Mus musculus: one gene and its partner. The protein of the gene in region 1 purifies or fractionates together with the protein of each later gene. This does not show direct contact. Links are inferred from orthologs where the notes say so. Each region holds a gene or a part of one and is shown on either strand. Other genes may lie near its edges.

The links.
Region 2: the proteins of Sgsh (region 1) and Sumf1 purify together in Homo sapiens (co-immunoprecipitation; 3 studies listed by BioGRID and IntAct, with this or other methods). This does not show direct contact. The link is inferred for Mus musculus from reciprocal best matches to the Homo sapiens genes SGSH and SUMF1.

The regions. Positions count from the first base shown.
Region 1 is NC_000077.6:119,345,425-119,349,238, reverse strand, and holds part of Sgsh (N-sulphoglucosamine sulphohydrolase precursor), read left to right. Parts: intron 1-1,347; coding exon 1,348-1,551; intron 1,552-2,401; coding exon 2,402-2,961; 3' UTR 2,962-3,814. UniProt on the Homo sapiens protein: Catalyzes a step in lysosomal heparan sulfate degradation.
Region 2 is NC_000072.6:108,151,054-108,154,867, reverse strand, and holds part of Sumf1 (formylglycine-generating enzyme precursor), read left to right. Parts: intron 1-1,632; coding exon 1,633-1,755; intron 1,756-2,526; coding exon 2,527-2,641; intron 2,642-3,814.

The DNA of each region.
Region 1 (3,814 bases):
ATACTGTAGCTATCTCTAGACACACTAGAAGATGGCATCGGATCCCATTACAGATGGTTGTGAGCTGCCATGTGGTTGTTTGGAATTGAACTCAGGACCTCTGAAAGGGCAGTCAGTGCTCCTAACTGCTGAGCTGTCTCTCCAGCCCCCCCTTTTTTTTTAATGACAGGGTTTCTCTGTGTAGTCCTAGGTGTCCTGGAACTCACTCTGTAGAACAGGCTGGTCTCAAACTCACAGAGATCTGCCTGCCTCTGTCTCCCAAATGTTGTTTCTTCTCCTTCTCCTTCATATTTAATTTATTTGTGTGGATGTTTTGCCTACATGTATGTAAGTGCATCACATACACACAGTGCCCACAGAGGCCAGAAAGGACAACAGATCCCCTGGAATGACATCATAGATGGGTGTGAGCCACCATGTGGGCGCTGGGAATCAAACCTGCATCTTCTGGAAGGGCAGCCAGTGCTCTTCAACCACGAGCCATCTCTCCAGCTCCAGCTTTCATTTTCATTAATTAAGTTTTTTCTTTGTTTTTCATGTGTGTATGTGTGTGTGTTTGCATGTTTTCACACATGTATGGGTGTACAAATGTGTGTGTATTCTTTCACATGTGTATGGGTGTGCAAATGTGTGTGCATACTTTCACACGTGTATGGGTGTGCAAATGTGTGTGTGCATGTGGGGGCCAGAGGTTGATATTGGAAGTCATTTTGTCTCTTTTTTAGCTCCTTTACTGAGACTGAGTCTGTCAGTCAAACCCAGAGCTTGCTGATGTTGCTGTCTTGGGAGCCAGCTTCCTCTGGGAACCCCATTTTTGCCTTCCATGGCTGGAATTCCAGGCGAGCTCTCTCACCCTGGCAATTATGTGGGTGCCTGGGATCCAGACTCTGTGATCCTGACTCTTGCATGGCAAGCAGTTTAGCTGCTGCTCAGTCTGCCTGGTTGCCATCTTATTTTGACTTTTTGAGACAGGGTCTTGTTATAGACCAGGTTAGCCTGGAACTCACTTGATAGCCCAGGCTATCCCCGAATGCCAGAAGATCTCTAACAGTGGTGCCCTATCTTAGGCTCTTACCCAAGCTGTCTCTTTGCTTCATAGACACTAGATTCTAAAACAGAAGCCAGCTTGGGGCAGTACCAGCTGCCTCATATGGCAGGAGTTCTAAGGGATGAGAGGTCCCTGGAAGCCATGTGACCTGTACCATGTGTACAGGAGGTTTGTGGTTTGGGCTAGAGGCTGGGCTTGCAGGAAAGACTGAAGGGGTGTGTGAGGGCCAGGATGTAATAGAGCCCAGGGGTAAGTGGACACATGTGCCTCTGAGCCTTCTTCCTCCTCTCCATCCTCAGGGGTAGGTCTGGTGCTCCAGGAGCTGCGAGGTGCTGGTGTGCTGAACGACACCCTCATCATCTTCACATCTGACAATGGTATCCCTTTCCCCAGCGGCAGGACCAACCTGTACTGGCCCGGTACAGCCGAGCCTTTGCTGGTGTCATCTCCAGAGCACCCACAGCGCTGGGGCCAGGTCAGCGACGCCTACGTGAGCCTTCTAGGTCAGTCTGTCTGTCTGTCTGTCTGTCTGTCTGTCTGTCTGCCTGCCTGCCTGCCTGCCTGCCTGCCTGGCTGTCTCATGGGAAGGGAGAAGTGAAGTCCAATGGGACAGCCATGGGTTAGGTTCAGGAGTGCTCCCGAACCTAGGTAGTGCTCCTTCACCTAGGTAGGGACAAGATGGCCCCCTCTATTACATGGTAAGAACCAGAGTCACCTGGAGGTCTGTTCTTGTCACGTCACGACCCCCAGAGTGTCTGGTGGGGTCCCAGGCAGGACCGATGGACTGTGGGTTGCCCACTTGAGAACCATTTCCCCTTTTCTCAGGATCTGGAGCCTCTCATGACTCAGCTCTGAGAGCCTGGTTATCTGGCCCCATACCACAGATGAGCAAGCATACATGCAGGTGTGAGAAACAGACAAAGGGGCTGAGGAACAGAGGGGCTGAGAAACAGAGGGACTGAGTTTGTGCCCAGCCCACCTGCTTGGAAAGAGTCCCTGTGTTCTTCTCAGTGGCTACAAGATAGGCTCCCTCCAGCTCAGGACTCGCTTCTCCATTGTGACCCTAACCCATGAGTGAGGGAACCTTGTGACCAACCCAGACTGAGTGGATGAGCCCTCCCTACCCAGGGTTCCTCTAGTCCATAGGACTTTAGAAGGTTCTTGGATATCAGCAAGCCAGGGCCTCTGGTTATACTGTTATCAGCCTCACTGGCCAGAGGTGATCCGATCCTACGAGTGCCCATGGGATTTCCCGAGAGACTCAGATCCAGCCCTTACAATGGGCTCCATGTCTTCCAGGAACCCCTGCTAAGAGCCTGTCCGTGTCCCCACTAAGAGCCTGTTCCTTTCCAGACCTCACCCCTACCATCCTGGACTGGTTCTCCATCCCGTACCCCAGCTATGCCATCTTTGGCTCAAAGACGATCCAGCTCACAGGCCGATCCCTCCTGCCGGCGCTGGAGGCAGAGCCCCTTTGGGCCACTGTCTTCAGCAGCCAGAGCCACCACGAGGTCACCATGTCCTACCCGATGCGCTCGGTGTACCACCAGAACTTCCGCCTCATTCACAACCTGAGCTTCAAGATGCCATTTCCCATCGACCAAGATTTCTATGTCTCGCCGACCTTCCAGGACCTCCTGAACCGAACCACCACAGGCCGGCCCACGGGCTGGTACAAGGACCTCCACCGTTACTACTACCGGGAACGCTGGGAACTCTACGACATCAGCCGGGACCCTCGAGAGACACGGAACCTGGCCGCTGACCCAGACTTGGCTCAAGTGCTGGAGATGCTGAAAGCTCAGCTTGTCAAGTGGCAATGGGAGACACATGACCCCTGGGTGTGCGCCCCAGATGGAGTCCTGGAGGAAAAGCTCACACCCCAGTGCCGACCGCTTCACAATGAACTCTGACCATCCCCGGGGCACCTGCCAGCCCACCTGGACATGGAGGGAGGGAGCAATGGAGGCAGTACCAACAGCTGCACCTTCTACATACCCATCCTAGGAGGCCCCTCTACCATATGGGATGCCACTCCCGCCTCCTGTAGAGGACACTCAAGCACGCACTCCCTAGTTGCTGCCATACCAAGGACACCGTTGTCCTCATGTCTGCCTGTCCTGGCTCAGGAGACTCTAGGGGGAACTCGGGCATGGCAGAACCCCAAGTTTTGATAGGTGAGTTTGGAGATCTGCAGATGGAGGAGCAGGGTCTGGGGCTCGAAGCCCTCTGGTTTCGGGAACCTGTGGATGTTTTCAAGCCCTTCACCCTAAGAGGAGCTCAGGTTTCTGGGTGCCACATGGGCAGTGGGCAGACCGCACTGACTACTTCAACCAACCTTGTCCTGGAGAGAGCATTCAGTAGGCCTTGAGCTTGCTTCCGCCTCCATGCTCCCCCCCTGAGGTACATGCTTAGCCAGGGTTCATGCTGTTCTCAGAGGAGTGAGTTTGATCCTGTGGTCTATCTGGGCTCTGCTCTCCTTTCTGAGGGTGACTGAGGAGGACAGGGTGGGACAGTGTGCGCTCTCTCTCCCTCTCTCTCTCCCCCCTCTCTCTCCTTTCATTCTCTCTGAGTGACACCAAGCAAACCACCTGGCTCCATCTTTTCCCTTCCTTCACTTGCCAAGGGACAGAAGCACTGCTTAGAAATCTAGAAAGAGAGGGGCTGTCCCTTTTGCCCCTCTGTCAACTCCATCTTGGAAGGGAGTGAGAGTTATGGGCCCTAGTGTTGGAAAATCCTTTTTACAATAGTATAATCATTCACAGA
Region 2 (3,814 bases), on another chromosome or scaffold:
GAATGGCAGGTATAATCAGCCACTCTTGGGAGGGCAAGGAGATGATGGGAAATAATGTATATGAAGTCCTAGTCACAGGGTCTGCTCACGGAAGGCCTTGACTAAACGGACTCTTTCCTGCTTCATTTGGCTTCAGAGTTCCTCCTCACAGATTGCCTTGCTTTGGACAGGCTCTCACAAATGTCATGACACATTTACTCAGAACAGTCTAGCCACGAATGTGTCTTTATGTGAAAGAAGACTGTCACTCTTATGGATACTAGTTGTGTCCTATCAGGTGGCCATGTGCTTTTTAGTCCTGGACTGATACACTTAGAAGCCAAAATCTGACTAAAACAAAAAACAAAACAAAACAAAACCCAGAGTGGCAGTACGTCTCCGGGGTGGCAAGGAGGTAATTATCTTAAGCAAAAATAGAGATGCACATTATACCCTGGGGACGAAGGGGGGTTTCAGTTATGACTTGGCTTCCAACAGCCAGGAAGCTGTTCGTCTAACCCCATTCTTCAGACAGGGCTTTTGGCCTTTGTTTCTAACTACATTCAAGGTTATTCCCCTTAAAATCAGGGAACAGGGAATATATATATGAACTTCAGCTCTAGAGACACAACCCCCTTGATAGATACAAAACTTTTTAAGGTCTGAACTGGCTTCCTCTGTGTAGAAATGGACGGTGAGGTAGAACGTTGCAGGATCCTTGAGGACCTGGGGTGGACTTGTTCTCTAGATCTCAATTTTACCTTCTTTTCCAGGTGCAAAGTTGGTTAGGAAAACCCAAAGGAGACTGCATTTTCATTGGTGGTGCTAAGACTTGAACACATAGCCATCTGTTTTATGACCGAGCTGCACTCCCAAACTGGAATATACTTTTAAATTTATGCCCTAGACTCAGAGCTACTCAGGAACCTTTGTGGAGTAAATTAATGAATGTCCTATAGGAATTCAGAGCTGCATGAGGAGTTAGGTGGGCCAGTCTAGGTCACCTAAAAGTGAGTGGTGATTTCAGCTCCAGTGACTTCCTCCATCCTCTCAGGAAAGGCTGCTAGTGTGAGGCAGATGGTGCTAGCTGACCCTTAGTAGGATAGCAGAAACATGCAAAGTTAAAAGCTAGGTGTCTGGAAACAGGCTAAGGGTTTGGCATGTCTTTTAGGGACTCACAGATGTGTAAGGGAGTAGATGCCAAAACTACTGTGTAAGCCCAACAAAGTTCTGGTTTACTTTGCATGGAGCTCTGTGGAATGTACAGATTATAAGCTGAGCCTCTGTGGGCCTTACATGTCTGCTGTGATAGTCACTGGAGGCTCTAAGGTGCCCCTAACCATTTTGCAAAATGCGGAAGGAGCCAGAAGCCTCTGCTGATGACTCTACGCAGCTGAGCCAATAGGGGCAGAGCTTCACTGTGCCTGCCATCCCCATGGAATCTGTGGGCCTCCAAGGCTACAAAGTGAAGAGATGCTTGAGTGCAGAGAGGCTGTGACCCATTTGGGCATCTAAAACTTCAGAAGTCCCCACTGCAGAGGACAGGTGTGTCGCAGCTAGGCTTTGAAATCATGACTGTGGTCACTTTCTGAATCTACCTCCTGCTTTCTGTTCAGGCCGTTGTCTCTTTTAACTGCGCGTGTTCCTCTCTAGGTCAAATCATCCGGTTCTCCATGTTTCCTGGAACGATGCTGTTGCCTACTGCACATGGGCGGGCAAGAGGTTGCCTACTGAGGCAGAGTGGGAATACAGCTGTAGAGGAGGCCTGCAGAACAGGTACTCAAACACAAGGCCTTGCCTTGCCCTGCAGTGTGTTGACATTCTCTTCTACACCTTCTTCCTCTGCTCCTCCCTTCTCCCTGGCTCCCTGGAACTTGCTGTGGTCAGGAAGTTGATTAATAACAGCTGGCTTTTCTTCTTCCTTGTGAGGTGCTTTGGTGACACTAGTGGGTGAGTCACAAACTTTTTACAGTTCCTAAAGCCAGGTATGGGACCAAATGGACTCTGTAGTGGCAGAGTGAGCGCTGGCCACACACCCGCTCCTATGTATCCCTCCTCAGAGCTGCTTGGCAGGCTGCCCTGCTTTTAGCATTTTCTTATTTTGGCTGTCTTCTGAAACCACGGTATTCTCTGCTTCTGCAGCCATGAGACAGAAAACTCATGTTTGGGTCACATCTTCTAGGAAAAGCTCCTTAAAATAGACAGGGCTTAAAACAAAGTGTGGTACGCAGTGCCTGCTCATGTTACCATATAAGTCCAGAGTGATGCCTTGTGTCTCCGATCTCTAGAAGGCCTCTTTCAGTCATATCATTTATCTCAGGCCTTCTCAGTGCTGAGGAGAGACTGACGTTTTACACACTTGACATGAGTTGTTTTAAGAAAATTTCTAAAAGTTCCAATTAAAAGTTATATTTACAAGGGTATCTTTTAAAGAAACAGTTCACCCAGGACAGACGTGCATTGTTTGTTCTCTCCCACTGCATCCTTCCTTTTGACTGTGGTCCAGAAGCCCGTGCACCATGCTGATGCCTGTGTCTCTCCTCACAGGCTTTTCCCCTGGGGCAACAAACTGCAGCCCAAAGGACAGCATTATGCCAACATCTGGCAGGGCAAGTTTCCTGTGAGCAACACTGGCGAGGATGGCTTCCAAGGAACTGCCCCCGTGAGTAAGCAGGCTTCTTGAGAAGGGCTGTGTGCCTGGGAGCCAAGGCACTGGGCCTGGGTTGGAAGACCCGGGTCTGACACCAGCATCTGGAGGTTGAGGCAGGAGAATCAGAACTTCAGCTTGGCTACGTAGTGAGTTCTAGGCAAGCTTGACTTACAGGAAGCCCCATCTGAAGAACACAAAACCAGGGCCAGAGAAATTCATCAGTGGGGAGAGGTAATTGTAAGCAAGTATGCTGACCCATGTTATCACCTAGAATCCTTGTAGTGGGAGGAGAGAGCAGAATCTCGTAAGTTGTCTCCTTGTTTCCACACACACTGTAGCATGAGCTTGTGTGTGTGTGTGTGTGTGAAAGGTACCATTTGCTCTCTGACCAGCACTGTTCTTCCTTCACTATCCACCCTCAAGAGTGGCAAATGCTGGAAATCATCAGATGTCTTGTCTCCTTTAGGGTGCTTTTTTTTTGTGTGTGACTATATAATGCACACTATAAGAAAAAGACTCCCTGGATAGAGGAAGAAGCTAAGCTGGCCTGGCAGTCTACTTCCCAGGTTAATCTCTATTAGCACTCTGGTCCCTGACCTTCCACTCATCCTAGGGGTTAGTGGTGATGGTGGTACCAGCTTTGCAGTGTGCCAGGATTACTGCTCCATTATCATGCATAGATCTGCTCATTTGTAATGTCCATTTAACTCTTTAAGATGGGTATTGGTGTGCCTGTGACATTCTGAGGCACAGAGATGTAAACTCCTGTTCCAGTTTACATAGCTGGGAAAGTGACCACAGCTGATTCAAATCCCAGCTTGGCTTGTTCCCAAATCTCATGATCCTAACTACCCTTTTTGCCAGCATGTGTATCTCTGGTGTCTTAGTCAGGGTTTCTATTCCTGCACAAACATCATGACCAAGAAACAAGTTGGGGAGGAAAGGGTTTATTACACTTCCATACTGCTGTTCATCACCAAGGAAGTCAGGACTGGAACTCAAGCAGGTCAGAAAGCAGGAGGCTATGGAGGGATGCAGAGGCTATGGAGGGATGTTCTTTACTGGCTTGCCTCCCCTGGCTTGCTCAGCCTGTTTTCTTATAGAACCCAAGACTACCAGCCCAGAGATGGTCCCACCTACAAGGGGCCTTTCCGCCTTGATCACTAATTGAGAAAATGCCTTACA